4 linked regions of the Arabidopsis thaliana genome follow. The protein of the gene in region 4 interacts with the protein of the main gene of each other region in a pairwise test. Each region holds a gene or a part of one and is shown on either strand. Other genes may lie near its edges.

The links.
Region 1: the proteins of AT2G35605 (region 4) and EMB93 interact in a two-hybrid assay, tested with the Arabidopsis thaliana proteins (one large-scale study listed by BioGRID).
Region 2: the proteins of AT2G35605 (region 4) and ATHB13 interact in a two-hybrid assay, tested with the Arabidopsis thaliana proteins (one large-scale study listed by BioGRID).
Region 3: the proteins of AT2G35605 (region 4) and AT1G05805 interact in a two-hybrid assay, tested with the Arabidopsis thaliana proteins (one large-scale study listed by BioGRID).

Annotation. Positions count from the first base shown.
Region 1 is NC_003071.7:897,548-904,735, reverse strand, and holds EMB93 (Mitochondrial transcription termination factor family protein), read left to right. Parts: upstream 1-3,736; 5' UTR 3,737-3,787; coding exon 3,788-4,642; 3' UTR 4,643-5,046; downstream 5,047-7,188. Other genes in the region: AGL30 (AGAMOUS-like 30), read right to left, coding at 1,167-1,635, 1,723-1,835, 1,913-1,987, 2,061-2,157, 2,242-2,303, 2,389-2,404, 2,509-2,573, 2,667-2,685 and 2 more.
Region 2 is NC_003070.9:26,254,446-26,262,733, reverse strand, and holds ATHB13 (Homeobox-leucine zipper protein family), read right to left. Parts: upstream 3,947-8,288; 5' UTR 3,569-3,946; coding exon 3,433-3,568; intron 3,352-3,432; coding exon 2,969-3,351; intron 2,635-2,968; coding exon 2,269-2,634; 3' UTR 1,953-2,268; downstream 1-1,952. UniProt on the Arabidopsis thaliana protein: Probable transcription factor that may act in the sucrose-signaling pathway.
Region 3 is NC_003070.9:1,741,287-1,750,613, forward strand, and holds AT1G05805 (basic helix-loop-helix (bHLH) DNA-binding superfamily protein), read left to right. Parts: upstream 1-3,157; 5' UTR 3,158-3,556; coding exon 3,557-4,031; intron 4,032-4,923; coding exon 4,924-5,216; intron 5,217-5,474; coding exon 5,475-5,603; intron 5,604-5,749; coding exon 5,750-5,815; intron 5,816-5,906; coding exon 5,907-5,975; intron 5,976-6,084; coding exon 6,085-6,141; 3' UTR 6,142-6,448; downstream 6,449-9,327. Other genes in the region: DGL (alpha/beta-Hydrolases superfamily protein), read left to right, coding at 1-1,333; RABA5E (Rab GTPase-like A5A protein), read left to right, coding at 7,019-7,490, 7,742-8,064; SPPL5 (SIGNAL PEPTIDE PEPTIDASE-LIKE 5), read left to right, coding at 8,490-8,627, 9,076-9,234.
Region 4 is NC_003071.7:14,941,549-14,948,998, forward strand, and holds AT2G35605 (SWIB/MDM2 domain superfamily protein), read left to right. Parts: upstream 1-4,492; 5' UTR 4,493-4,612; coding exon 4,613-4,816; intron 4,817-5,353; coding exon 5,354-5,479; 3' UTR 5,480-5,728; downstream 5,729-7,450. Other genes in the region: BRXL1 (BREVIS RADIX-like 1), read right to left, coding at 81-210, 321-700, 1,614-1,733; XEG113 (xyloglucanase 113), read right to left, coding at 6,069-6,236, 6,323-6,409, 6,501-6,620, 6,698-6,796, 6,884-6,997, 7,086-7,139, 7,232-7,326, 7,415-7,450.

The sequences.
Region 1 (7,188 bases), about 14 Mb from region 4:
TCGAAACCCCCAAATCAAATATCACCCTAAAGTAATTAAGAGACTCTAATTTGAAATAAAAAACAAGTAACGAGGTAGGTGTAGGAACTTTATTGGGAGGAGAAAGAGAGAGGGGGAGAAAAAAAGAAAGAGAGAGAAAGAGAGAGAGAGAAAAAGATAGAGGGGAGAGAGAAGGGAAGAGAGAGGTAGACGGAAAGAGATAGAGGGGGTAAACTTGGAATTAATATATAAAATATAGAGGATATCATTGCTTTTTTTTTTATGCTAGTTTCTTAATTATATTTTTTTTTGGTTAGTTTTCCAATTCCCCTAGAGTTTTTATATTTTTTCCTATTTACTAAACTGCGGACCAAAATTATGAATAGTGAATAAAAAACGGTCTTTGTACGCAAGTTAGTCCGTCCCATTGTAAACCCACTCAAGGAAATGGTTCTTACAAAGTAAAACTATTTAAGAAGATATTAGTAACTTGTGTGAAAGATACTGTTGGCTTTGTTGATGGTTCTTGGTGATTCAAAATCCTAGAAGAATCATCCAATGTAGTCTCTCTAACCCATAAACATAAGCTTCCTTAGTTCATCCTACATAACTTGTAAACTTTTGTATAAATCACTTAATAAACAAGAGTACTTTGAAGACAAAAACAAAAACAAAAATGTAGTAAACATTGTTTTGTTTGTTTGTTTTACATTGAAAGAATGAAAAAGAATAGATACAGAGGCTAGAGTTTGTGGGAAGGGAAGGAAGAGAGAGTTTCTCATCTTTTGGCTGTCATGGCGTTACTTTGACAGCCCTCCAAAGACACTACTAACTTTTATCGCCGGAGAAATATGGAAAACCTCAAAAAATCTCATCTGACTGAGAAATTATGTATAGAAAAGAATTAAGTGACATCTATTGAAGATATAGAAAAAATAAATGAACACGTATTGTGTGTGGTTTGGTTGCACAATCTACCAGGGATTACCACTGGTTTTTTTCTTCTTGGAACCAATTCAGAAATCGGCAGAGTTTTAGCTTTCTTGCTGTTTCTGAAAAAAAATATTGGTTTGAGTTTCTTCAGTGAGATGTTTTATCATCATTCATCAAATCTCTCTCAGTTCGGCTGCTGCATCTATAAGAAAGAAGAACAAATTGTCAAATCAGTCTACAAAACAAAAACCCATTTAGAATCTCTGAGAAAGTTTTGTTTTGGTTACCTGGGAAAACAAGTATTCGTCGAACATTGAGATTGAGCAAGGCAAGGAGCTGCTGCTAGAACCAAACCTGGTTTGGTTGGTGTTGTCGTTGTAAGCAGAAGAATCAGGTGGTGGTGCTTCAAAGAATCCATTCATATGATACTCTCTCTGATTCATTGGAATATACACCTGAGCATGCGGAAGAGTAAGAGGAAGAGGAGGAGGAGGCAACGTTTGGTGATGATTCATATCATTGTGAAGATTGGGATTGTATGCTGTGATATTATTATTATTAGTGAACTGCTGCTGCGAGCTTGTGTCCTGTTTCAGCTGTCCGGTGTTTAGTTCATCAAGAAAGCTTGTTTCTTGACCCGGAATTGTCATTTCAGGAGATTTCCCTGTTCCAAAGTAGCCTGGATAGCTCCCGAATGAAGAACTCGCTGAGCACTCGACTTCCCTTTTGAGGATAGACAAAGATTTGGTTTTAAGATATGATTCAATATTAAAAGAAAGAAAAGTTCTCTCGGTGAGAGTTTTCACTAACCTCTGCGGGATTGAATTGTGTTCCTCGGTGACAATGTTGGTGGTGTTGCTATTAAGAATCCATGACATAGATTGAAGCTGTTGTTCTAAAGGAATCTGAATCCCATCTTGCATCTGAAAGTTGTACAGCCGGGTTTACAATTTGTTTTGTTACAAATGAGAACTAAAGAAGAGTCATTCGAGTAAATTACCGAGCATGTTGACCAATCCTTAACAAAGTTTGCGTTTTCTATTTGCATTGCCTGTTGCTGCTGCCCAAAATGTTCCTATCAACAGAAGAGTTTTTAGTTTTTTGTTTCGCGGATGAAGTGAAATGGAAAAGTTTTAAACAAAAGATACCTTGTGTGCACGCAATTGATCAAGGGATTGCCTAATCGAAATTTCGAGCTGTCCCAAGTGTTCAACATTGTTAATCTTATCTGGTTCCGTCCAATAACTGCAGAACATGACACTAACAAGTATAAAAAAGAGCACAGACATCAAGAGAACAAAGAACTATCATCCTCAGCAAGATCTTTACCTTAATCTTCCATGTATCTCAGAAATCCGAGCCTGCAGAATCCTTGCTTGAGTACTCAAGTCCTGAAAAAAGGTTGTTTTGTATAAATTTAGGCTTTGGCAAATGTCATAGACGTTAGAAATGGAAAGAGAGTCTTAAAACCAATACCTCTACTGTTGAATTACTGAAACCAAAGAACCAAAAGCAAACAAGAGAGAAGAAAAGAAGTTAATATTCATATAGAGTTTCTTGCAAGAGATTTTGATATAAAACTGTTTCCGGACATACCTTGAGGCTATAAATTCGCGTATATTTACATCGTGATCCAACTTTTGGAAAGTTTTCTTCAAGTTCTGAGCTTTCGAAAGAGAAACATCTAAAATCAGAGATTCTCAAGGATCAAAATTAACCAAAAACTTCATTTGATTATGTGAAAATAAACTTACTTCAAGACTCTCGAACTTCCTGTATTCAAAAAAGATGAAACCAATGAGTAAAACAAGACCAACCATTGCCGGAGAAACAAACAAAAACATATCGATAAGAAAACACCAAACCTTTTCGTTCTTTCCTGCGGTGTTACTTGAGAAAACTTAGCAATCACCTCTTCCATGCTACTGAAGAACAATCATAATACATTCAGATAACACAATCCAAGAGAGACAATGATTATGTTGACAACAAACAAAACAAAGGAAGACACATTAGATAGATTACCTTCGTGTACCGCAACATATTGCAGCCTTGCCAGTAGGAGAGAACATAAGAAGAACAATATCAATGTCACAAAGAATAGATAGCTCATTAGCCTTTTTCAAGATCCCATTTTTCCTTTTAGCAAATGTAGATTGGCGTCCATTTGTGTTCTCTAACTTCTTTATCTTCAATTTTACCCTTCCCATCCTGTTAATCCCCAACTATATATTAAACCAAAATCAAAATCTCTTCTTCTTCTTCTTCACAAAACATCAATAAACTATTCTTCTCTTCAATCCAACACAAAAAATCAAAACTTGAAATGAATCATTAACATAATACGTTTCCAGAATCTGCAATCTATAATACCCAGATCATGAATTTCAATTTCATCACTTTGGGTTTTCAATAAAGATTCAATCTTTTTCTGAAGAAAACAGAGAGATTGTGAAAACCCTTATTAAGAAGAGATAAGGAAAGAGAAGAAGAAAAGGAAACTTACCTAAAGAGGCAAATTCAAACGCCAAGCTGATACTAACCATGAGCGAGATCTTAAAAAGGACCTCTTGAAGAAGAAAGGGAAAAAAAAAAAAAACTTCGAAACGAAGAATCGAAAACCAGAGGTAGAGATAGAGACAGAGAAGATGATTGCGGTTAACAGACTCTGCGCAAAAACCGGTCTTATGATTAAGCCGCTTGAGAATAGGGATCCTCATTGGAAGAAGAAGAACAAGCAGAAACAACTCTCAACCAAAAAACTACGTCGTTTAATCTTTATCTGACCGTTACACCAGAATTACCATTTTACCCTTCTTCCATTGTTTTATCCACACTTTAAAGATTGAAACTTTTTTTTTCTACCTCACCGACGATGATGATAGCAAGGTGTTCTCTTTTTCCGCCGCCGTGTTTCTCCGCCGTGAGGATTAGATGTTTCGCCGGAGAAACTTCAGATACTGGGATTCTATTCCGGGAGAAGCTTATTTACCTTCAAGACCTTAACGTAGATCCTCACAAAGCTCTCCGAGTAAACCCATCTCTCCGTTCTGCTCCAATCTCCTCCGTCGTCTCCGTCGAGACTCTACTCTCTTCCACCGGACTCTCAAGACCCGCCGTTGGTCGTATCCTCGACATGTTTCCAGATTTGTTAACTTCTGATCCTGAATCTGAAATCTTACCAGTTCTTCGCTTCTTATCCAATGAGATTTCAATTTCAGAGCAAGACATACCTAAATCGATCTCTCGTTGTCCTCGATTGCTAATTTCATCTGTAGATTATCAGCTTCGTCCTGCATTAACGTTCCTCAAAACCCTAGGATTCGTGGGTCGCGACACGATTACGTCACGGAACACGGTGTTGCTTGTATCGAATGTGGAACGAACCCTAATCCCCAAAATTGAGTATCTTGAAGAAGGGTTAGGGTTTACAAGAGAAGAAGTAGCGAAGATGGTTGTGAGATCTCCGGCGTTGTTGACTTATAGTGTTGATAACAATTTAGTTCCTAAAGTTGAGTTTTTTATTGAGGAGATGCGTGGAGATGTTAAGGAGCTGAAACGTTTCCCTCAGTATTTTTCGTTTAGCTTGGAGAGGAAGATAAAGCCAAGGCATAGATTGCTTAAGGAACATGGGATTTTGATGCCTTTGTCTGAGATGTTGAAGGTTAGTGATGGTCAGTTTAACCATTGGCTTTTAGAACTTCGTCTTAGGTCTGCTGAAAGAAGATGATGATAAACAACAACGTTCTTTTTGATGTTCTTTTTACTTGAGATTTGGGACATGTCAAGACACTTCACATGAGTTTTGTATATAGTTTCTGTTTCAATGATTAGGCTGAGTACATGTTTCGTTAGATCATGTAATGTGTAACTTGAGATCGTGAAAGAAGATGATGATCAACAACAACAATGTAAGCTTTTTGATGTTCTTTGTTCTTGGTACTTGAGATTTGAGAGATGAAAATTGCAGAAGTTTTGTACTTTGGGACATGCTAAGACACTTTCATATGAGCTTGTATATAGTTTTTTGTTTCAATATGTTAGATCATGAAGGTGTAATTAAGAATCTAGTTTTTTTTTTTTGGTAAGGTAATTAAGAATCTAGTTGATGAGGAATGAAAGTTGCTTTAAAGTTTACATGAGAAAGATGGTAATTGACTGCAAAAGTGATGATTTGCACCAAGTACGTGGGTTTCAGTAGATGATCACATATCCCTAGCTGAGTGAATTAGAAATGTTTTGCGTTTAACCATTCAAAATTTCAAATTATGTCCATTACTTTGAATCTTTCTCAATGGTTCTGTTAGCTTCTTTCAATGTACTCTGTAATTCACAAGACTTGAGTATTCATTAGCTTATGTGTTTTTTGCTTCATAATTTTACAAATAGTGTGTGGTGTTGTTCTCTGTAACTTCGGGCATGTTCGTTTATTAATCGCTGCGACAGCGACAACGACTCCGACGAAGACAAATTTTTTAACAGAGATACAAAAACAGTCGCTCAATATGGACGCCGGCGACGTCTCTAGTGAAGATGTTGAGTCGCTGTTATTTTTGGCAACACGTGTATATGCCTTATAGGTCGCTGTTTTTAGAATCGAGTGATTCCTCTCCACATAACTTTCTATAGACTTCAACGTAATTGTGTGTTAAACAACTGTTTTTTTGGTCGCTGGATTTGATCGCAGCGTCTGGAAAAAGAACAGGGCCTTCAAATTCTCTCCTAAATTGTTAAGAGTTGACTCAAACTGAAAACTGTAACCTTCCATAATTTTGAACCATATAGCTTGGAAACCAATAACTTAAAGTCGGATTAACGAGAAGCGAATACACGATCCTCAAATACTGATTCATTTCCGTACATAAAGCTCAGGAAGTAATTGGTGTTGGTGTTAGCCATCTGAATTGTCCTGCTCGAGGCGCTGGCTTTACCTCTAGCACATCTTGATGTTGTCATCTCCTCTTGTGTTCTCAGTGGCCTTCATTTTTGGTAAACTCAATAAAGTGGAGATTGTATTAGTCCTAAACAAAACCTTCTTAAATTTAAGACAAGTGTAGGGTCGTGCATACAGAAAATAACGTTTTTCACTTTATTTAGTTGGTATATGACCAATCTTAGGTTTGTTGCGTGGTAAACCGGTAATGGTTTTCTACAAATTTATTTGGGTTAATTTGTTCATGTCTTGTATTTTAATATCTTTCCGATTTTAATTCGCTCACTAATTATTTTTTATTTACTTTTTTATAACATGATATATTGATATATATATATATATATATATATATATATATATATTAATAAGTCAGAATAGTTGTGAATAAGAATACTAAAACTTACAAAAATAATAATATTTTTATACAGTTTTTCTTTTGGAAATATTTTTAAATAGGTCATGAAAAATATAATCTATGAATATATGATAATATACATAATTTTTATTATAGAAAAGTTAGAATACTTATAAAAAGGATAATAAGAAAAAGGATTTTTTCTGTTTAAAAGATGTTAAATACATTTTGATCAAATATTCTTACTACTCGTCAAATTAATTATTTAACTACTTTTTTTGTTTTAATGCTAACCTATCAAATTTTAACAAATAACGAGGAAAATATTTTTTATAGTGGCCATTTTTGGAATAAATTTTGAAAATTTTCTATTTTCTGCTATTTATAATTATTTTAAATTATTACATGCAAAAAATAATCCGAATTTTAAACAATATCTGAACCGTAGTATATATATGGATATTTAATGTAAATTTATTTAGCACTAATTCTCCATAAATTGTTAGGCGTTAAGATTGGGTCTAACATGTAAATCATGAATAAATCCAAGATTAATTGTATATTATTTAATGTTAGAAATATATATAAAGTATTATGTTTTTTTCTTTCCAAAACAAGTTATTACTCAAAAAATCTATTATAGAAATTTCAGTTTTCAGAAGTAAATAGGGTATAAATGTTTAGTATTTTGTGGATGCCATATACTAATTGCATACTACAAGTGTATGAAGAAGAAAATTGCAGTTTTTGTAAAAATTTATTTGACATCAATGAATAGATATTCCGGCCCTGCCAGTGTGCGCAACTTGTACATCCCATGGATTGTGTCTCATCATATCTTCATATTGTGGTTATTCTTGCCATCTTTTGTTGGAGAGATGATTATGGTGTATCTTACAAATTTTTAGTCGCAACTTTTATGCTTTTATTACCTATATGTAGCGTATCTAGAGACTCATAAAACTTTTTAAGATGAAAATCAACCAAT
Region 2 (8,288 bases), on a different chromosome or scaffold from region 4:
ATCTTATATTTTAAAGTAAAGGGATTAATAGTTATGTTGTATTTAACGAATTTTGGGGTCCGCCACTAATAGATTTTTTTTTGTTTTTTACCGGCACGGATAGAAATCTTATGACATATTCTATCCCAAAAGAAATAATCAGGCAACAAGCTTTTAACTACAAAAGTTCAAAAATATACGTACCCAATAACATTTATAACTAGATAGCAAACGTAAGGAATGTTTTACCACATGTACAATTCTATGATATAGGATTTTATCATACAGACACATGCACACAAGAAGTCATTTCCTAGTTGTACAATTTATAAGTATATTACGTGGAAGTGATAAGAGTGAGCATATAAGTGTAGTTGAAGCATCCAAGTTTACAAAGGGTCCATTAACCAAAAAAGCAAAGCAAACCAAACACGGTTAGCTAAAAAGAAAATTGTACTTTAGGAAAGAAGTGGGTGATTCTAGTGGGTCGCACCAACGCATTTCGTTTGATATGTTTTGTTTTGAATTCTTATAGTCATTTAGAGACTAGAGAGATCGTGTTGAACTAGAGCTACATAGTATCATTTGCAGTATTTTTTTTAGTTAACACCGAGTATCGAGATATTTTCTTATGGACCTTTGGGTTAACACCAATAATTTTCAACATGGGGGTTTGAACATGTTAACTGTTTTGATTTTTCAAATCTAATGAAAGTTAAAATATCCTTTGATTTTAATCTAATTTAGGATTCTATAACTGGCGACACTTCAGTTCTCTGGTTTTAAAAAGTTGGCAATTCACCACTAGTTCTTTAGAAGAAAAAATCAACGGTGTTCTAGCCTACAACCGCTTTTATATATGGCGATCAATTTTTTTGGTTCAACATCGTTGAAGCCAACATTGGCCTTAGTTTCTCCACATCTTTGGGTATTAAGCAACTTTTATTTATAGATTTTGTCGCATTCTTTTGTCGCTAGCATCTTTTAAAATTTTAATTGATTTTTTCTAATGATTGGTTCAATATTTTTTTTAATAAACATAGATTGTAAGTGAGATTTCAAATTTATCACCAAAAGGAAACATCGAATTCTTTAAGAAATTTCCAAAAGTTTAAAAGTGTCGGCCATTTGAATGTGGAAGATGAAAAGGAGTTAAAAAGGAGAAGAGTCGATTAAAAAGGAGAGTGACAACTTTCCAACCCCAAATTGTTTGCTTGCTTTCTTCCAACTCTCTTTGTCCTCTTCCTCTATCTCCCTTGGAATCTGTGTGCGTCTAATGTCTCTTGCTGCTTCTTTTACTCTCATCAAATCTATAATCTCTTCTACTTAAAATCCCATATTATCTTAAAGAAATTGAGGATATCTGATTTCTTAAAATATTTTTGTGTTGATGAACCAAGACTTCTAATGGGACTATGCATTTAATATATGTCATTGATAGATGAGTACTATTTTACACGGTGACACATTATTTTAATGCATGATATGTTACTTGATACCTCATCAATATTTCTGCGCGAGAACGAATGGCATTGTCATCAAACCGGACAACAAAGGTTTTCATCAAACCAAACTCTAATTTGCTGTCTTTTTTAATATAAAAACAAACTATAATTTGCTGATAGTGATGTTAGATTTTTTTTTCTTAAAAAAAAAAAAAAGACACACACGGTGAAATGAATAATGTAACTGTAGAATAAGAGAAGGGTTATGAAATTGATGGTCTGCGGCATCGTCAGATTTAAATATCGTACGTCTTTTGTAAGGTCTCGTGATTACAAATTTCACTCGTTTAGATTTTGTCCCATCATTTTTCTTTGGTCCTTTTAACCCGCTCGACCAAATCATGACATATGCAGAATTTATTTCATGGATTTAAACAAAAATAATGATTTGTTTCATGGAAAATGTCCTTTTCATTTGTGCTATTCCATTTATTTCTTCCCACTTCTGAATATGACGACTACGACCACATGGTGCCAGTACCCACGACTAAACTATATAATATACAATTTATTTTATTTTTCTCCATACAGAAAAATGTTGGGCCATAATGATATTATTTTTTATATAATATAATGGATATTACCCATTTTTTTACATCTCATTTACTCAAAAAGTAAACAAAAAACCTCAGTGGTGTTTGGTTGCAGATTTCAAAGTGAGCTAATGATATAGATTCCAGTTTTTGAAAACATGCATGGGTTCTTCTGATCAAAATTCCAAATACAAAAAAAAAAAATATAAATTTTTTTAAAAACAAAAACAAAAAAAACAGGTAGACCAATTTCAATTGTACTGTTGCTGATCAAGCCATGGCCAAAAACCAGAATGGTCATCCATTGCACAGAACATGTTACTGATACTATTCTCTTCTTTAACCATACTCTGTCCTGAAGATGAGTTTTGAAAGAACTGCATTGTTGTAGTAGTTGTCGTTGCGGTGGCTGGCGACGGTGGGAAGAAGTGTCGACCAACTGTCTGTGGTGGCGGTGGGTGGCCACCGGTTAATGTACTGTCGTTTGATGGCGGCGCAGTTGAGATATCTAGTCTGAGATTATCTGAACTGTTATCACTTCTGTTACTGCAAGATCCTTCAGTTTCTTTGTTTAGATTTATTGATTCTGTTTGTTCTCTGTTTTTTAATCCCATTATCTGCGTAATTAAAGACAAAATTTTAAACATAAACAGAGTTACTGTACAATGTGATAAGCATAAAGAAACTATTGTTTTCAGATCTCTTTCCAGACAAGAGTGAAGAAAAAAAGAGATAATGATGTCTGAAAAGTCATGAATCATGTCCAGTTTTTTAACCCTACCTGAAAGCAACTCCTGATCCAAATAATTATAAACCAGAAATATAATTTTTAACCTTTTTTAAAAAGAAAAAAATCATCCTTTAGATGGAAAATAACTGTAATTATTGATCATTAACCCAAAAAAAAATAACACATATTGATTTTTTTTGTTAATTTATGAGATTAATTACCTCAGCTTGGAGTTTCTGATTATGAGTTTGAAGAAGATCATTTTCAGCTTTAAGTGTATCAAACTGTCGTTTAAGAGTATCATAATCTTTCTCTAGCTGCTTTGTTTTCCAACGAGCTCTTCGATTTTGAAACCAAATCGCGATCTGTCTTGGTTGCAAACCTAAGGCACGAGCTAGCTGCATTTTCCTCTCTGGTTCAAGTTTGTTTCCAAGCTCAAAGTTCTTCTCTAGTGTCTTCACTTGTTCCATGTTCAATCTCCTCTTCTTCTCTCCCATTTGTGACCCATCATCTGAATAATCCTCTTCTCCATTCATATTGTTCCCTGTTTCTAAATCACAACACCCTTCCATTGGAGATCTCTTACCTAGAAACGAAGCAAATCCTGAAACAGAACAGAACAGAGCATTAGAAAGAGATAGAGAGAAAACAGAGGAGATGTGTGTGGAAGTTTATGTATATATACCATGGAGATCTTGAGGTAGAGAGCAAGAAGGAAGAAGAGGAGCAAGAGATGGAGATTGATGAGGATGATCATCTTCGTAAGAGGTTTGGATCATGAAATTTGAAGGGAAAAAAGACATTCCATTATTACAAGACATCTTCTTCTGTTTTGCAACAGAAGTTAGTACTGTTTGCTTGAGATTTTGGTCGTTTCTCTTTAGTTTTTTCTTCTTGCCAATCTTTGTCTTAAAGCCATTATCATGGTCTTATAAATCTGAAGCTCTTTGTGTGAGAGTTTGAAATCAAATGGAAAAAAAGAAGAAGAGGAAAAACAAAAGAGAGAGAGATAGTGAAATGTATCGGCCTAGACTATACCACTTCTGGTATTTAATTTCTTCTTTATTTCGTTTTATATAGAAAGGCTGAGAGAGAGAGAGAGAGGACATATGAGCTGAGAAGAGAAAGAGACGCACTCAATTGATTCTCTCGTTAAAAAAAATAAAAATAACACGATCAAATACAAGCTTAAACTTCATTTACGTTAAGCCAAAGTATATATAATTATTAACTCCAATTTTATCTTCATTTTCGACAATCGTTTATAGATAGATATTTTTTTAACCATTGTTGGCTTCCAAGTAAAAGTGGGATCCAATTTAATTTACCCTGGTATATACTTACTCTTTAGTCTTTAGGATAGTGGATTATTGTGTGGTGCGCTGAGATTCATCTATAAATAAAATTTGCATCAGACCACAACAAAAGACACAGTTTGAACTTTGAATATGATATTGAGGTGTAATATCTACTTTTAGTTGGAGATAGAACAAAAAAAATGGGGTTAAAAAATAAATAAATGTAATTGCAGATTAAAAATCGTAGAATTGACCAAAACATGTAATCTTAGTGTTTTCGTTGTGTTATTACTCATATCAAATTGGCATAATCCTAAATATTGTTGAAAATGAAAAAAGGAAGCAAATTACAAGGGGGTTTAGCTTGCGTACAAAGTGGAAAATGAAGAGATGATAATCAAAATGGTAAGAAGAGAAAGGACTCTTCTTTTTCCCCTTGGGAGAGACATGCAGAGAGGTGTTCTCTCTCACTCATCATACTTGTCCTTTAAATTTTATCTAATAACTTTTTCTTTTATTAGATTTGTCCTTTTTTTTGTAAGTCCAATTCTCATCTTAAATCATAACTATCAAAGTTGTGTCTCTCTCTCTCTTTTTATCATCTAAATTTATTTCTAAAGAACTTAATTTACAATTTATTTTTCGCTAAATCATTTGCATAGGCTGAGAACATATGTAATAAGTAGCTAACTAACGCCTTTCATACTTCTATTGATGTAAATTAATTTCATATATATAATGATGTAGTGATATTGGGGTAGGGACGAAGCTGGATAGTGAATGGGTCCAATGTTGATCCTATTTAATCACGCTAGTACGTATGGACTATATATAGACCCATCAAATAATCGTATTGTGTCTACATGGATTGACCTAGACCTGTGGATCTAGGGATTGTACATAATTTTATTTTATTTTTTGTGGGAAGAAGAGAGAAGTGATATTATTGATTTTCAGATGTTCTATGATGCTAGTTTTGATTATTTTGATGTGAAAAAGGAAGATTGAAATATTTAACAAAAGAAGAAGATAATAGCTGCACTTGTAAACCATAGTATAACTGTGATTTTTTTTTTAGTCGGATATATAGTTACTTTAAATTTGTTCGTTTTCATTCTTCAAATAAAAACGATTGCGGGTGAATTGGAAAGATCAAGGCAGTCAGAATAACATCAGAGTTCATAAGAAAATATATTATTTTAGGTGTCCGTCTTACACCACCCACCTTATCTAATACGGTCTTCATTCAGAACCTTAGTTTAATCTTTTAGTTCAGAATATGGAACGTATATAGTTAATCTTTATAGGTAACTGCTAAAGTCTATCGCTAAAAAGGTGAAAAAGTAGAAATTAAACTAACAAAATATAGTAGTGTAGAATTTCTCTATATGTATTGTTACTTCGTTTTTATTTAGAATTCATCATTTTTGTATGAAATTAAAGTTCAATAAGTCTAAAAAGTATGATCGGTCCAAACATAATTGAAATTTGGTCTGAAATAGAATGGAAAAGCAATCACCATCTCAAAATAGCGTTTAAACGAAAAAATTATATTGAAACTGTAAATAGACTTACAATATATACAAAAGCATGGATTATACGTATGTCCATGATCAACAATCTTGTAACATGTATTTGAAATTCTAGATCATGTCTATGAGAATCATGGTACATCAAATCTGATCTCATCAAACCTATTAGCTTTGACCTAACCTATCAACCGCAAGACAGATACCAAAACGAAACAAGAAATCAATTGACTACTGGTAATGCTATATGTATATATGTAGAGTAATATTGATTGACCAATTACAAAAAAGTTATACAATTAGCAAAATAACAATAATAGGAATAATCAATAAGTATCACAAAAGTAAAATTCTCGCTAAGAGAGAAGGGTTTCTCGTGCTATGTTGGCCGATTGATTGGTATCATATCAAATGGAAGTGATGCAAAAAATTCCAAATGCATTATATTAGAGAGTTACAAATATAAAATCTAATGATGCAATTTCTTAAAACCCTTTTGTTGTTTTCCATTTATTTAAAGTTCATATATATAACAGACCTGTTATATGTTAGATAGCTTATGTACACATGAATGCATATGTGCGTGTGTATATGCATGCATAGACAGACGTATAAAGATGGTGCGTGGGGTACTTAGGTTAAGGAAAAAACCAAACAAAACTACTATTTGATTAACCCCACATAAGAGCTGTTCTATCTTGTCTCTCCCTCCTTTCCTCTTCCATTCCTTTCCATAATCAATCTTTCTTTTTATTTTATTTTATTATTTTCTTAATTTCTCTTCCCAACATCCCTTGTGCCGTATTCATCGATGATGTTTACTCTAACATCATCAACCACATAATTATTAACATTTTAACGTTCATTTTCACTTTCGATTAGACTACTATTCATTACTTTGAGACTACTTATCCGTCTCTAACTGACATTTCACGCATCACATCGTGCCGTTCTGCAATCAAAACTTTTGTATCAAAGTACTTTTACTTATCCATGCATACATATAGCTTCACAAATACCCGAATATTTATTGAATGAGTATGATTTAATTTTTATTTTGTATGGAATGTGAATGACCCAAAAAGTTATTTTTTTTTTTGGTAAGGAAAGAGAAATTAAAGAAGTTATAAACAATCTGGTTTTTAGAAGACGAGTAAAAATTGTTAATTTCAACTAATTATTTTTAGTACTCAAGTATATATTATATTTATTGGCAAAACATAAAAGATGTAAACATCTAGATACATTTTAATCCATTCGAAGAACTTAACAAAAAAAAATTTCATACATTATATTACATTCGGTGTGGTACAGATCGCACGGTCAATCAATCTAAAGATCACTTGCGGTGATTGAGCGACGTTGTATGATTTTATCCATACTTCATATTGTTTACTGTTATGATCCATTCTTCACAAGATTGACTAGACGCGATATATGTGCACTCTTATCATCAAGAAGTGAAATATAGCGTATGATTAGATATGTGAATTTAAAGGCTAGTCTTACAAGTTGCTAGCGAATTTGGAAAACTTGTATAGTCGTTTTTTTTTTTCGGTATGATCACCCAACTTTGACGTATCTATTTCAGACACTATAAAAGCATATGTTTCGATTACTGTTTATCCAAATGGAAATGTCTCGCCCAAAACCTCAACATGAAAGTCAGGAAAGTCCAACAACGTAGTTTTCAAGAAGTCACAATATGTCCCTCCTCTCGTGTCACACCACTCCTAGTCCTAGCGAACTAGCTGCATAGTGTAAAATACTTTATATATGAAAAACTTAGACATAAATATATATATACGTGTGCGTGTGTGATGCATGTTTATTGTTTTTTATTCAGGCCTATATGCATTCTACATGTTTTAGATCAAGATGGTGATACAGAGACACTACTAATACAAACACTTGCATAAATCCTCTATGATTATGTCATTCGTATTCATTATTTTAAAAAGAAAATTTACGTCAATACTTGAAATACATTAATTGATATATGTTTTCCTAGTTTTGGAGAAAAGGGTGGTGTTCATATGTTGCAAAACACAAACATGTAAATACAGCAAAGAAGACATAGTGGACCCATGACAAGAAATAAGGCCCAAAAGTTGGGCTAATTTCAGCCATCACGACAAAGGCTACTTCTCATTTCGACATCCATATTATTCTATTCTTGTACACTTCTCTTTCATTCACTCGTCATTAATATGCCTTCAATCTAATATATTTAAGGACACAATTATACACACGTCCATATATAAACTTATATTGTTGCCTTGTTGGATATATATAAAAGTTATTGTAATTAGTAGTTACTAGTTAGAGTAATTTTCAGGTCTAATAGTGATGAGATTAACGTATTTTCTTCTTTAAATTTCAGTTATTTGCAAATAATGTCACTGCTCGATTTCCTGGAATAAAGGAGCTAATAAGAGTATCATGTTCTCCTTCATGTTACCATTTCACGTTTGCACGTTTTTTTTTTTTTTATTATGAACAAGATTACGATCACACGTTCGGTTTGTTGTTTAGTCGTTCCAAGTGTATAGGAGTTTTATCCACACAAAAAAAATTTTGATAGGAATGTGTAATTCCATAAAGATTTCCATCGTTACACACTAAAGTTTTATCTTACGCGCCACGCCGTTTGTGGAGTAACCGAGTAACTAATTTACTACTAGTCTTGATGTTGGTAGGATTAAATAAAAGAA
Region 3 (9,327 bases), on a different chromosome or scaffold from region 4:
TGACCATTTCTCTATATCCCAGCACACCTCTAAAAGACTCGTTGTCTCTTCTTCTACAATGTCCCCTCCGATTTCATCTTCTCCACTCTCTCTTCCTTCTTCTTCTTCTTCTCAGGCCATTCCTCCTTCTCGAGCACCTGCAGTGACTCTACCGTTGTCTCGGGTTTGGAGAGAGATACAAGGGAGCAATAACTGGGAAAATCTCATTGAACCTCTAAGCCCTATTCTCCAACAAGAGATCACTCGCTACGGGAACTTACTCTCCGCTTCTTACAAAGGGTTTGATCTAAACCCTAACTCCAAACGTTACTTGAGTTGCAAGTATGGAAAAAAGAACTTGCTTAAAGAATCCGGAATCCATGACCCTGATGGCTACCAAGTCACCAAGTATATCTACGCCACACCAGACATCAACCTCAACCCTATCAAGAACGAGCCTAACCGTGCACGTTGGATCGGTTATGTAGCGGTTTCTTCTGATGAATCGGTGAAACGTTTGGGAAGGAGGGATATTTTGGTGACGTTTCGTGGCACTGTCACCAACCATGAGTGGTTAGCTAACCTAAAGAGCTCTTTGACTCCGGCTAGGCTTGATCCTCATAACCCTCGTCCTGATGTCAAGGTCGAATCCGGGTTCTTAGGTTTATACACATCCGGTGAGAGCGAGAGCAAATTCGGGCTAGAAAGCTGCCGTGAGCAGCTTCTCTCCGAGATCTCGAGGCTTATGAACAAGCACAAAGGCGAGGAAATAAGCATAACACTTGCGGGACATAGTATGGGGAGTTCTCTAGCTCAGCTTCTAGCTTACGACATAGCGGAACTCGGTATGAACCAGAGAAGGGACGAAAAACCTGTTCCGGTGACCGTGTTTTCGTTTGCTGGTCCTAGAGTTGGTAACTTGGGGTTCAAAAAACGGTGTGAGGAGCTAGGAGTTAAAGTCTTGAGGATCACGAATGTAAACGATCCGATCACCAAACTTCCAGGTTTCTTATTTAATGAGAATTTCAGATCTTTAGGTGGTGTTTACGAGCTTCCTTGGAGCTGTTCTTGCTACACTCACGTGGGAGTCGAACTCACCCTCGATTTCTTCGATGTTCAAAACATTTCTTGTGTCCATGACCTCGAGACTTACATCACTCTAGTAAACCGTCCGAGATGCTCGAAATTGGCGGTTAATGAAGACAATTTTGGCGGCGAGTTTTTGAACAGAACAAGTGAACTGATGTTCAGTAAGGGACGACGTCAAGCGTTGCATTTTACAAACGCAGCGACCAATGCGGCATATCTACTTTGTTCTATATCCAACCATATGTTGTATTATAATATATTTTAGGTCTAGATTGATCCAAGCTAAAATTTTGGATTCTTTTTTAAGATAGGACAAAATAATTATTGCCCTATCTTTTACGTAGCATAAGAAATGTACATATATAGATGTATATGCAAAACCTAATACAAAAAAGTATATTTTCCACATCCAAGATAAATTATTGCGTCTCATCTATCACAATGTGAACAAAAATAATTATTTTCTTCTCTTAGTTACTATGAGTTCACAATATAATACTTTTCTTTAGGTTAAAGCTCTCAACTGTTGATGAAGTACAAGAACTCAAAATTGTGAATGAAAAAAAGGGACATCATCCAATATCAGGCGTGTACATATTAGCATTGTTGTGTATCTTTTTATATTATAGTCCATTAGTCCTAATCGATAGATGTATTTTTTTTTGTTTTATTAGTTATAAAAACAGACATCTATTATTAATTTGTTATGGTTAATTGGTTATTGTATATTATTATAGTAGAAGTGACGTGAGGTACCAACGTATTAGATTATAAATATAAATAATGGCCAAAGACAAAGCCATTTGTCAAAACTTCAACGTCATTATAACCTGTAAGATTAAAAATGAACAATAAGAAATCATATTTAGCAAAAAAAAAAAAAAAAAACAATAAGAATCATTTGTCAAATCTTCAACATCGTTACAGTGTATAATTTATATTTTGATTTTTTGTTCTAAATGATCAAAGTTCATATATAAAGTTATTTATATGCTCAAATTTAATCATCGAATATATATACAATTTGTCTATGTTATTTGTCAAAGACAACGTCAGCAATAGTTCCATATACTCTCTTTTTCTTTCGGAGTCTTTATATTACTCACGGAGATATTAAATTATATTTATTTTTTCACTGAGATATTTTTTTTTTTTTGGTTTAATGTTAATAAACTCACTGAGATATTAATTAATACATGCAATCTTTATCTATATTTCCCATTTTTATTTGTAAATGTGTCCCTTCTCGTGTTATGCGAGGGTCTTTTTTTAACTTTTTAATTTCTCATTTGGAAGCTTTCATCTATAAATATATGCACTAGCTTATTCTATATATAACATAAAACCGAAAAAAGGTTTTGTTCACGATGTGGATTCTCTGTTCACGAGAGGTTTTGTTGAAAAAGAAAGAAAGAAAATAATTCAACTTGAATTTGGAAGTTTGGTTACAGATCACATCATTCGACAATAAAAATAAAGACATATATAACAATTAGAACAGTAACTAATTTGAATTTCAGCTTCGATTTCTTACGAATCACATGGGGTCAATAAGGGTGGGGCTAGAAAAACACGTACGTTTGGAGACCAATGTGTGTATCATTCCTGCATGCGCATCAGATGTGTTTCACTCTTCAGAAAAACGTTTATTTTATTTTGCATGTCACAGTCGTAGCTAATTATCCGTACGCATCTTAATTACGACTCCATTTTACACACCAATTTATGGATATATAATTCAGACAAGATGAGTTCTCGTTTAATTTTACTTCTTTCCATTTGTGGAAGTTCATATACTATTGTGAAAATTTGAAAATAACTGGTGAAAGAGGAAACGTCCATATTTGTGGGCTCTATTTATAATAATAACAACAATATTAATTGTTTAGGTAAAAATTAACAGAACTATTTTGAATTACAATCGGAAAAAGGTTTGCGTCAAAAAAGTATTGATGAACCATGCATTTGATATAAGCATTTATGTTTGTTCAATTTACTATTAAGCAATTAAGTCGAATTTTATCGAATCATTTTAATTTTTACCTTTAACATTTCTGTGATCTTGAAATCTTTAAATTAACAATGTGAGTTATATACACTAGAGAAAAATAATTGCATTCCACTGAAAACCTCAACATCTTGGGAAATTTAAACTTAATCAAAGACATCGCAAATGTTGCTTATCTTTTTATCAAGCCCAGCCCACATATTCGCGGCCCCAAAGCCCAAAGGTTAAGCTGACTCGTTACAAAATAAATAAGTATTAATAAAGGTTTTTGATTGGCTTATTTCGGTTTAAATTTAATACCATATCTTTCGGAAGATCACGTGAGACACATGTGACATCCAACGAATAGCCAATCGCTGAAAAGTGAAGACTTTTTGTTACCCCATAAACAAAAGCATCATCTCTCTCTCATCTTTTATTTTTCTTTTAGAAACCAAACTTTTCAGATTTCTCTCTCTCCATTTGGCGATAGAAGAAGTCATGTACCAATCATCATCCTCCACGTCATCATCATCGCAGAGATCATCGCTTCCCGGCGGCGGAGGACTGATCCGTTACGGCTCAGCTCCGGGATCGTTTCTAAACTCTGTGGTTGACGAAGTCATCGGAGGAGGCTCATCAAACGCTCGTGACTTCACCGGCTATCAACCGTCGTCGGATAACTTCATCGGTAACTTTTTCACCGGAGCTGCTGACTCATCCTCGCTGAGATCCGATTCGACGACTTGTGGAGTCAACAACTCATCCGACGGACAGAAACAGCTAGGCAATAACAATAATAATAATAGTAATAAAGATATCTTCCTCGACAGATCCTACGGTGGATTCAACGAGATCTCGCAACAACACAAGAGCAACGACATCGGAGGAGGAAACAGCTCAGGATCTTACTCTCTCGCTAGACAACGTAGCTCTCCCGCCGATTTCTTCACCTACCTCGCCTCAGATAAAAACAGTTAGTCCTTTTTTTACTCAAGAATAGTAACTGTGATGAGATATATATATTTAGACAGACAAGTTTACTCATTTTCAGACCATTTTTCCTTAGAATTTGCCAAAAATCGTAATGTAGAATATGAGCTATATAGTTTTCAGTCATTCAATCATTCATTGCTCAACTAAAGATCCGTTTTTTGGTGAAATGAAAATCTAACCACGAGGGTATTTTCGGTATTTCTCACTGTGAAGTATCTAGTTTCTTACAAGTTAATTAACGACTATGTATATAAAATAAGTTGACATTGTGAGCTTTGATATTTAGGGTCGTTGCTAAATTAGCTTGGTTGGTACTTGTGCAAGACGTGATCCTCGTATTTTCGGAATGACGAAAATACCATTTGATCCCTAACCACGTGCTTGAAAATACAGCAAAAATGTGGCTCGGTTACCCTTAATTTGGGATATTATTTAAATCTTCGAGGATTCCTATATCTCAAGTTGCATTTATTTATTTAGAGGATGGATTTTTTCGTTGATGACCAATAGTTTCTCTGCTGAGATGGCGAAATATCATTGGTTGTGATGAAGATTATTCAAATAGAAAGCGATGTAGATCTAGTTGGTGGATCTGATCTGTCCACTTTTATATTATTTTTTCCTTGGTCCTGATGATTCGTGCTTTGCTTCGTTGTTATCTAATCATAATATCTTCCACCAAGCCTGGATGTGACTTCCCACACCTAACCGGTCACCGGCCTGAACCGGAATTCAACTATCCATATTATCCAAAAATCCCTCTTTATTTACTTACATTATATGGTTTCTAATATTTTGGATGTGAATGTGAATTATTTTTAAAAATAATTTTCACGTAATGTCATTATAATATAGTTTACTTTGTAAATCAGATTTCTCGTTGAACCAACCAACCAGTGATTATAGTCCGCAAGGAGGGTCTAATGGGGGACGAGGACATTCCAGATTGAAGTCTCAGCTAAGCTTCACGAATCACGACTCTCTGGCTCGGATCAACGAGGTCAATGAGACCCCAGTCCACGACGGTTCAGGCCATTCGTTTTCTGCGGCTAGCTTTGGTGCAGCCACTACTGATTCTTGGGATGACGGTTCCGGTTCGATAGGGTTTACCGTGACTAGGCCCAGTAAACGATCCAAGGACATGGACTCTGGTCTCTTTTCGCAGGTACAATTTATTTGTTTCCATGTGGGATTCCTTTTTTTTTTTCTTCATGTGTTATTACTATAAACATGCTACTTTAGTCAAATTATATGAAATTTCAAAATTTCTAGAAAAGGACAAAAAAATGTAAAATATTTGTTTTAGGATAGACATAAAAAAAAAAATTAACTAGTAAAGGTAAATGCAGCAAAACTCTTTAGTGGCCATACATTTTTGTTGGTGGCCAATTCTTACCGAATATTTTTATCACTGGTTTTGCAGTATAGTCTTCCTTCAGACACTTCAATGAACTACATGGATAACTTCATGCAGCTTCCAGAAGATTCTGTACCCTGCAAAATCCGGGCCAAACGCGGCTGCGCCACCCATCCTAGAAGCATCGCTGAGCGGGTCAGTTATAAACACTTTTTAATTTATTTAGCGATGGATAATTAATTCACTAAATTTAGCAACAAATTTGATCGTCCCTAATCATGTAGACCCTATTCTTTTTGCCATCCTCCTATCTTAACCTATACAATATGTTTATATTATAGGAGAGGAGAACGAGAATAAGTGGGAAGCTAAAGAAGCTACAAGATCTTGTCCCCAACATGGATAAGGTTACTTTATATCAAATATATATAGTATATATGGTAACATCATTTTGAAAAAGTGTTCATTACCTCACACACTTGTTGCTGATTTTCTTAGCAAACAAGCTATTCAGACATGCTGGATTTAGCTGTACAACACATCAAAGGCCTTCAGCATCAACTTCAGGTTCCCTTATCTTACTTTTTCTGTTTAGGTCAGCTGAATCCATTTCCAGAGTTCTCTCTAGTTCATGATCCATATTGATACATAAACACATTTTCATATACAAACGCAGAATTTGAAAAAAGATCAAGAGAATTGCACGTGTGGGTGCAGTGAGAAACCAAGCTAGCTCAAACCCAAAGGTAGGGTCATCCTAATTTTATTTGCATTGTTCCGATTTTATCATATGAGAGAATTAGAGAAGATGTAAATAAAATAGATTATATTAAATGTCTAATCCTCTTATAATTAAGCTCCTCATTCGTTATCATTATAAGATAGAACAGTGACAATTGTCCATTATGTTTTTGTTTCAAGTTTATGTTTTGAGTGTCGCCTATTTTGTAAGGATTATGCTATGAATTCTGAAACTAATTCGAGTTATGATCATAAGCAAAGCAAGCTAGCATCCATTATATATATGACTTTCTAATTTGATCTCTCTTTTCTTTATACTTCTTCATAAATAGTTCCTGAATTGAATATTGAAATTAAAGGTACGCTAATTTTTCTTATTTTTAAAATTGAAGAAATGGACCAAATACCAAAGTTACTTGAACCAATGAAAACATTAATAAGCAGAATTCACGTACCAAAGACCAAAGTGAATCTCGTTGATCATATAATGAATTATGATATATTTAGTAGTAGTTAGAAACATGCAAATAGATATAGGTTGATATGAAAATTGGCATAAAATGTATGAACCGGAATACTATTAGTAGCATTAACTTTCCTATTATTAACAAAACTAGCGTGTATGCACGTTACAGAGAAAGATTTATTCTTTATTAGAGATGAAATTTCTTTAGTTATACATACACTTTGGTTTTGTAAGTTAAAAAAATATAACTCCCTCCTACGTTACCAAGAAGTCCACCAACGTGGTGGATTTTAAAATAACTAACCAAAAACACAAATCAGGGAAAAGTCGTAAATTAAAACTGATAATTTGGAGGAAAATATAGAAAAAGAAAAAGGTAACGACATTAAAGAAGGTGCACTTAATGCGCAGTATGTCCTCTTGTGCCAGCTTGTTGCACCGTCTTCCGTCTCCTCCTCTTTCCCTCTCTCTCTCTCTCCAAACCAGTCCTACTTCTCTCTCTAGAAACCTAGGGAAGAAGAAGAAGACGGTGAAGCGAGCGATGTCTTCGGACGACGAAGGAAGAGAGGAGTATCTCTTCAAGATTGTTGTTATCGGCGACTCTGCCGTCGGTAAATCTAATCTTCTATCTCGTTACGCACGTAACGAGTTCAGCGCTAACTCCAAGGCGACGATCGGAGTCGAGTTTCAGACGCAGAGCATGGAGATTGAAGGTAAAGAGGTCAAGGCTCAGATTTGGGACACTGCTGGTCAGGAGCGTTTCCGTGCCGTCACTTCCGCTTATTACCGTGGCGCTGTCGGTGCCCTCGTCGTTTACGACATTACCCGCCGCACCACTTTCGAAAGCGTTGGACGTTGGCTCGATGAGCTTAAGAGTAAGTCTCGATGTGAATTATGCGATTGACTATCGATTTAGGGGATCCTCATGATCTAATTAGGTCGTACGGATTGACTTAGAATTGGGAAATTTTGAATCTAGTTTTGGTAGATTATAGAATTTGTGACCTAGCTAGAACATAACAGAGGATTATTCAAGAACCGCTTAGGAAAGTATCTCATAATGAACATCTTTAGATTGGTCTGAGATCTAAAATTGATTCATTTGCTCTTTTCTTGGTTGTTTCAGTCCATTCGGATACGACGGTGGCGAGAATGCTGGTGGGGAACAAGTGTGATCTAGAAAACATAAGAGCAGTGAGCGTGGAGGAAGGAAAGGCTCTAGCCGAAGAGGAAGGACTCTTCTTTGTGGAAACATCGGCTCTTGATTCGACTAATGTTAAAACAGCTTTCGAGATGGTGATACTTGATATCTACAATAACGTGAGCCGTAAGCAACTCAACTCAGATACTTATAAAGACGAACTCACCGTGAATCGGGTAAGTCTTGTTAAGGATGATAACTCTGCCTCCAAACAAAGCTCTGGTTTCTCTTGTTGTTCTTCCACTTGATGATATACCACACCAAAATAATCCTTTTTTATTTCTCACAACTGTAACTTTATTATATAAATTTTTGTTTTTTTCTTTGACTCATGGAAGAAAAGAAATTCATGAACTGTAATTTATTTGGTCACATTAATTTTCCTTTTATAATTTTGGCAAACATTCAAAAGATCTATTCATTCTACTTGGGTTATTTCCTATTTTAAAGAAACTAAATTTGATTGGTTGGTTTTGTGATTTTTGTCATTATTTGGGAAAAGCGAGGGAAAATAAATCCAAATAGGGGAAGAAAAAAAGAGATGGCTTTTCACCGAGTTTTCTCTGCTTTTGTAACAACGAACATGAACCAAGAATAATCTTTTCTTTCCCTTTTTTTGTTTGTCCCACAATTCTTCAAATTTTCTTCTCTCTATCTAATTCTCACGGTGGCGATGTCTTTACCTCCGTTTACTTGCCGCCTTCTCGCGGCGGCGGCGGCTCTCTATCTGATAGGTCTGCTGTGCGTCGGAGCTGACACGAAAGATGTTACCGCTCCCAAAATTCCTGGTTGCTCCAATGAATTTCAAATGGTAACAGGTTTCCCCAATTCGAGTTCCTAATCATTAATTTTATGGAATTTCACTTTTTAATTTCGTGCGAAGATTTGGTTAAACCGGAATCGTTTTTGCCTTTGTCTAACGGACCCTACGTATATATCTCATTGATTGATTTGAATCTTCATTGGAATTGCATTCAACCACAAATGCAGCTTTTGTTAAATTTCAATAGGTTTAGGTTAAATCCGTTATTGAAATCGATTGATGATGAGGATGGGGTAGTTTGTTCATTGATTTTGATAAAAATTGATTGATATGATATAAAGCATTGTTCCTTTTCCCCACAATATCTATGTGATCAATATTGAGGTTTCTCTGTTTCTGTTTATTACCAGTTGTCTATAAATAGATTCATGTACAACAAAACTTCTCTACATTATCAGATCGCTCATGCAACTACTGATTATTGAACATTGTCCAGGTCAAAGTTGAGAATTGGGTCAACGGAGAAAACGGTGAGACTTTTACCGCCATGACTGCACAGTTTGGCACCATGCTCCCGTCTGATAAAGACAAAGCTGTTAAACTTCCGGTTGCTCTTACCACTCCTTTGGACAGTTGCTCCAATTTAACTTCAAAGGTCTTCCTTTTTCTTTTCCATCTTATATCGTACAGTCCTAGCTAGGACTCAAATACCACTGTTGTGAAGATGAGTTTTTTTGTTGTTGTGATG
Region 4 (7,450 bases):
AGAAACAAACAGAAGTTGAAAGATAAGATTACTCATAAACCTTCTCTTAAAGTTGTGATCTAAAGAGTGATGTGTTTTACCTGGTCCTCGGATCTACCAGGAGTTTGAAGAGCTTGTCGGTTAAATCTTTGAACATTGTAAAGCTCAACTATTCTGTCATAGTTCTCACCCCACCACCTCTGAGCCTGCCACTTGTCGAAAACCTCCCGGCTTCAAAAACGATACAAGTATATGTTAGCTTCATTTCACATTGAATCATTCTATGTCCTTAAGTGAAACATATTCTTGAAAATGTTATGGAGAGAATGGGTTTCAAATACCTGAAACGTATCCGTTTAAGATCATTTCCTCCACTGGGAAGTGAGACAAATGTGATATGAACACCAGGCTCTACTTGAGCCATCCACTCCTTTGGCTCGTCATCCTCTAGTACCACATCACACGACTGAGCAGAGATGGATTCACGTTCACCGCCATACATTGATGTGAATCTTGAGTCTGGCCGTCCAGATTGATGGTAGGAGGATCTTGGTAAGTCCCAAGCAGGAGTGGAGCTCGTGCTTCCACCAGGATAAGGGTATGGAACACTCTCTGATGCAGTGTCAAAATCCGGAAACTTCCTCAAGTTGCTGCTCGAAGAGCCCGGAGTTGGCTTGCTTTGTTTATGAGAACCTGAGAATTTCGACGCCATATCTTTGATCTGCATAGCATCCGTGCCCAAGAAGTTGATTAAAGTAAAATCTTAAAACACAACCTTACTAGGTGATCATTGGACAGAATAATGTTGGACAGAACAGGTAAGTAAGCAATAAAGTCTACTAACATGAAAAAAAAGAGTCAAGAAATGGATGATTTTTCTTTGATCCCAACTAGGAAAAAAAGAGTCTACTATCATCATTCATAAAGAGCATGAATAAAGCTAGAAGATCTGATATAATTTGAAACAAATAATATAGTTCATCTTGTCTTCTCCATGACTAGAACATAATCATAGCTTCTTTTTTTTGCTTCTTTTGATTTACTATATACTTGCCCCACCATCCTAATCTAAATAAGAACCCACTAGGGACTTATTCTAGGAAAGTATATAGATCAATCTTCAATAACAAGCAAAAATCATGTTCAACAAGGCGTGACTCCATTAGCCTTTTCCACACAAATCATCAGCCACTACATTGGTAAATTCAATGTGAAACATAATTTTGATATTTTAATTATTTTACTAAATTGGTTGCTAGATTTTTTATGTCTAGTCACATAGAGTGCAGAAAATAAAACACTGACATAACCTATTAAAGAGAGATTTGTAATAGATTCCAGAGAAGTGATGTTGCATCACTGTAAAATCTTGTCTAAAGATCCTAATATTGTTTGTAACCTGCAGCCTTAACTACAGTAACCTCTATACTTTTGTACTTGACAGCCAAATTTCAAAACTGTTTATTTCACTTTTCACTACAATTGTTAAAACAGTTTAAGAGGACCATTTTTCTCAATTTGGCTTTGTTTATTTCAAGACCAAGGCAATTAGGAAAAAAGCAACAAAAGTAAAGTGAAAAAGAGTCTTAAGGATCAACAAAGGAAAGAATTGATCTTTAGGGAGAGAAAGAGACCTGTGTAGTTAGGCTTTTAACGGCTTCTTTAGTGTTGGGAGTGGTGCTCCCACGCGCTTCATCTTCTTCATCCTCCTCACCTCTGTCTGCCATTTTAGTGCAATTTATGCAAGTAAACATCTTTGCACTCTTTTTTATGTTCTCTGCCTTTTAAACCCTATGAGCCATAAAACAGAAACAGAGTGTATTAAACATCACAACTTCTAAACCATTACTCATAAATAAAGGTAGCTATATAAAAGAAAAAACAAAGCTATGAAAATGTTAATGATGCTAGAGCTTAATTAATTAATTGGATAAGCAACTCAACTAATAATAAGTTAGTGAAACCCCAATAATAAAGATTAAAGGAGTAAAAACAAATTTCTTGAGAAGGATGATATATTCCTAGAATAGTAGTAGTAGATGAAGCAAATGTTTAGGATGCAAGAATGAGTTGAGACACATGATTTATGCAGTAAGCCATAAAGATTAAAGAATTATATCCCTAAAAATGTTTCATGAAATTAAGGAACTCATGAAATAAAGTAGAGAGGGATACAAGTTTTATATGTAGTATTAAAATAAAAACAAGCTATGGAGGTACATAATTAGGGGCAATAATAATCTTGATAAAGACAAAAGTGTTCAAAGATACAACTTGGGGATCAGAGAAAAGGACCACTAGAGAAAATATATTTTCAAAGGATTGTCGATGGCACCTGAATGGATCAAATTATAACCTTTGGAACAATAAAAATATTTGAAATATGATCATGATAGAGACAAGGGATGACATTAAAATTATATAGTTTCTGTTCTTTCTTTTTTAACAAAGAAAGTGGGTCTGAATAGAGAAGCGAAACTGAGTGTGTAAATGCTTTGTTGAGCAGCAATACCAAAGTAAAGACCCCATCTCCTCGTCACACACATAAATCAAAAGTTTCAAAGAATATTTATTTCTCCGGCAAGCCGAAGTTTCTGACATTTAAATATTAGAGAGCTTAATAAAAATATACAATTCTATAAAAAAAACAAAAACAAAAATTTGTTTCTTCTCATCACTCGTGTCCAAAAATACTGTTTTAAACTATAAAACTGAAAGTATGAAGACACTCGAATTTATTACAGCCAGAAGTAAAGAAAAAGAACTTAGCAACAAAATGGAATCTGTAACAGTCACGTGTATGATAAAAAAAACGAAAGAGCTAAAACAGAGAAAGAATTAAAGAAAGAGTTGGGTTCAAGTGATGATGGACCAATCTTAATGCATGTCGAAAAAATTGAATAAAATCGAAAGTATGTAAGAAAATGAGTTGTTTTCATTCAAAACCCAGTAGATAAAAAAAAAATCAGAGGTAATGAATGGAATTAAATTGAAGTATGGGTTTAGTGTGTTTTACCTTGTATCGAAAAGTCTGCAAGGTTAAGCGTCAAGCGTGTATATCTGAAACTTAAGGATTGCTTTTTGTTTCCTATAATAGACCCAACAAAGCTGCAGAGATTTAGCAGCGTTACAGGCGCAGTAGTAATATGAAGTAAATGCAAAAGGACGACGTAATTGATTATTATGATGAATGGCTTTTATTTTCATTGGAGAAACACAATTTCTTCCCTTTTTTTTGTCGAGTAAAAAGCAAAAGTAAAGTAGCAAACAGTAGTAGTCTAGTCAAATATTACTAGGGAAACTTTTGAATGTGGTAATAAATATTGCCATGAATGATCTGGTTAGTAAAAAATTGATAGATTTGGGTAATGTGTTTGTTATTAACCATCAAAAATGAAGCATAAGAAACAAAACACGTAGAACGATGATTTAAATCAGCCTGTAGATACTGAAGTAATAGAATGTAACAGTAGAGAAATTATCTGATTGGTTTCCAGAAATTTTTTTTTTACAAAAAAAGGTTTGACCAGCTTAGAAAATTTCACGAGAAAATCTTTAAATGGAGGGTTATTCGGAGTCGTACCTGAACCGCAACGTCTTCTTGAAGCGAATTCAAATCAGAATCTGAAGATAATCTCCGCTCTGTCGAAGCCAAATTACTCCGGAGAAGATCGAAAACTCCAAGAAACAGCGAAATATACTCTTCGACTGGAGAGGAACTTTAAATACAAGCATAAATCACGGGGTAAGAATCCGGGTAGTCGGGTCACCCAGTAACTGTTACGGAGCTCCGGGTTTTGTTTAGAGAAGTATGACGGAGAGAAAGAGAGAAGGCATTTGGAGGACCGACCGTGAGTAATTTATAAGGTGGAGGAAAATATAGAGATATTAACGGCGTTAGATTACTTACGACGTGAGTTGACGGAGATACTTTTTTTCTTTCTCTTTGAGTAAACCTTGAAATTTGGTCTCGATAAGAGACGGCAGGGAGGGCCCATTGGTGTTTGCCGGTGACGGAGATAAAAAGAGAGAGAGAGAGAGAGTTCTCTTACGTGTGCAGGAAGTAGCCTAGTGGCGGCTTTTAATTGGATGACGTTAGTTCAAACGGGTCGTGTTACGGTCATGATTTTACACACTATACAACTCCCCCAATGGGTACGGTCGCATCAGTCACAAACGTTTTTTAGTTGTTGTTTGGATCTCTTTATCAAAGTTTTTGCTTTAAATCGTTTTCTCTTGTTTTAGATAGAATCATGTGTTTTGCCCAAAAAAACATAGAATCATGTCTATCAAATATTTGTTCAATTTGTTATGTAGGGAAAATTGTATCTTTTGATTGGATGACATGATAGACCGATGAATGCCATTGCTTTCTTTTGACATTTATAGGCTTCGAATTGTTGTTTTGTTTATCAAATAAATCCAAAAAGGCCCAGAATCTTGGTGCAATAGGAGGCCCAAAACAGGCCCAAACTAAGAAGAGCTAAACCACAGACCTTCATTAATTTTTAAAGGGCTGAGAGAAAGAGAGAGACTGGGAAACGTTTCAGTTTTCAAAGTCTGTGAGTTTGATCTAGGGTTTTAGACAGAGCTCTCTCTCCTTCCAATTTCAAAACTGTGTGAAGAAGAAAAAATGTCGAGGGTTTTCGGAGCTTGCAGGGTACTGATGGCGAAGGCCGCTTCTTCCACCGGCGCTAAAACTGGTAGACAAGGTACTGGCATTCTTAAGGTGGTTCCCGTTTCGAAGCCGCTCGCTAATTTTATTGGGGAAAACGAAGTCTCTCGCACAACTGCCGTCAAGAAAATCTGGGAATATATCAAGCTTAACAATCTTCAGGTTAGGGTTTGCTTTATCTTCTCGAACATTTCTGGGTCTTCTCTCTGCGAGTTCTACTGGATTTTGTCTTTTAATTAAGCTCTCGTTACTTAAATTAATAACCTGTTTATGCCACGTGGGTGATTGATTGATCTAATAGAGCTTGTTTGACTGTATCTGCTTAAGCATTTTTCTGGGTGTAGGAAGATTCGTAGAAATTTTGAGGCTTTGTGTTGTCCTGAAGTAACTTGATTTCTTCAAAATGGTAGAACAAGGTGTTGTGATTAGCCTTTAATTCGGTGATTAAGTTTATCTTTGTGACTGCAGCTTATGATCTTGATGTTTTGGATATCTGATTTGTTCAGGAGTCAACATTTCAAAGCCTAACTTTTGTAGCTATATGTTCTTGCTTATGTTGAGTGAAGAAATCACTGCTTTTAGGGAAATTTACGAGCTAATGGAAGTTACTTTGATCGTGTTGTTAGCCTTAGCTGGTCTTACATTTCTATGTTTTAGAGATTCTTGTTTTCCAACACATACTATTGGTTTTTGATGTAGAATCCGGTGAACAAAAGGGAGATACTATGCGATGAGCAACTCAAGACGATCTTCAGTGGGAAAGACACTGTCGGGTTCCTCGAGATTTCAAAACTTCTGTCTCAACATTTTCCTAAGTCTGCTTGATTCCCACATTGCATTTTCCTTAGCTTCTATTACTATATCATCCAAGAAACGGTTCTTCTTTTTTTGTATCTTTTTATGGGTGATCTTTATTGGTTATATATAGACTACCAGCCAGTTCCCATCTGTCTTAGACGGTTTATGTATGGATGATGGTTCAAAGTCAATTTAGCTAATGGTGGTTTGTGTCTTGGAACTTTTTTATCTCTACTATAATCTTCTTCCATCTCAATATGGCATGGACTCCTTCACATCTCATTATCTCTCAGCAGGATAATTCTTATTTCCAAATATACCAATTCAACAGAACACGACTGCGTGGTTTTTGAAGTATGAAAGTGAAACAACTAAATAAGCCATTTATTAATATAAAAATCTACAGAGAAATTATATGAAAAGAAGAAACAAGTTTCTGTGTCCAAACCTATGGTTATAACATGATACATTGAGTGAGACAGAGAAAAGAAAGATACAGTTCCACAGTAGTATAAAAAGGCCGTATAGAAGGAAAAAAAAAACTCCCTAAGTCTGTCTCCTTGTGACCCAAGAAATCGAGTGTAAGCTTCTTGGAGTCTTCTTGCCAGTAATGTTATCAGAGAGGAGGATGATCTTCTTCTGGTGTCTGTGGTGGAACCGGTTTCCAACCAGGTTTCTCGTCCCAATACATATCGTAGTAAATGTGTCCTGGAGTCTTGTTCTCCTCACAACACCATATTCCCACATATCTCTTTACCCGTCTTCTAAATCTTTCTTCTCGCTCCTGCTTGCAAACCCGATTCGGTCAGGTCAGATTTACATGGTGTATCAACATGTCTAAATGTTTTCACGGTTTAAATATCTACTTGCCTTGTCAGAGAATCCGATGAAAGCATCTTCAATTGAAGAAAACTTGATCACTTTGACATCGTCGAAGGAAGAGAATATCGCCTTAAACTGCGGTGAGCACAAAACAAGGCGATAAGGCTAAGCCAGCGATTTTGAAATATAACAAAGAGTGATAGATAGCTAATGAAATCTTAGTTACCGTATCTTCATTGCTCCGCTTTGGGAACTTAAGAACCCGAGAGGGGCTAGTGTTATTTGATGCCTCGCATCCTTCTTTTCCTTCTTGACAAAGCTGAACATCAAGCCATGACTCTTTCACCTGAAAAATATTTTCACTCCTGACATTTTTTCTATGAAATGATTAATTAGAAAAATATATCTGGGCGGCTATATTACTTGTTTTGGCAGCAATGGGTTATCTAGAAAAGAATACTCTCTGATACCAATCCCAGGGCCAAACTCTTCCTCTGGTAGCTCCTTAAGCATGATATTGACCTGTAATTGAAATTATTCAGCTGTTATGAGTCATTTGCAGAGGAAGAATCAGATATTGACATGTTACAACATCATTACAAATACTACCTCAAAGACATGATCAAGTGGGCAGATGAAAGGTTGTCGGGTCATAGATCCCTGAAGAGTACCAGGATGCCCAAACCAAAGCCTATCTAACCTGCACCATATTGGTGGCATCACCTGATAACATTGTAGAGACCAACCAGCTATATATAAGAATCAATCATTATCACCAGGAAATATGCATTAAGCTGTTGAATGGACTCACCAGTGTACGATTAAGAAGAGATGCAATGGCTAGAGCTGATCTGATCTGTTTCATCTGTAAAGTGGACCAAAGGTGGATGTAAAATTAGAAAGGTGGTCAAGTTAGCATATAGTTCTGAGGGATCATGTTAGGTTAGTAGTTGTTACTTGGTGATTAACGAGGATAAAATGCGATTCAATGGTATGCTTCCCGTCAAGTAACAAGCTTTTTGGAATCGATGGTTTAAACGCAATGAAACCTCCTGCATTGTGTTGGAGTTTACAATGTTGATTTTGGCTTTCCCCATTAACAAGATTAATGTTGAAGAATCTTAACAGAAAGAATATTACCTGGTGAATCATAATATTCTGGTGGGTCATAGAAAA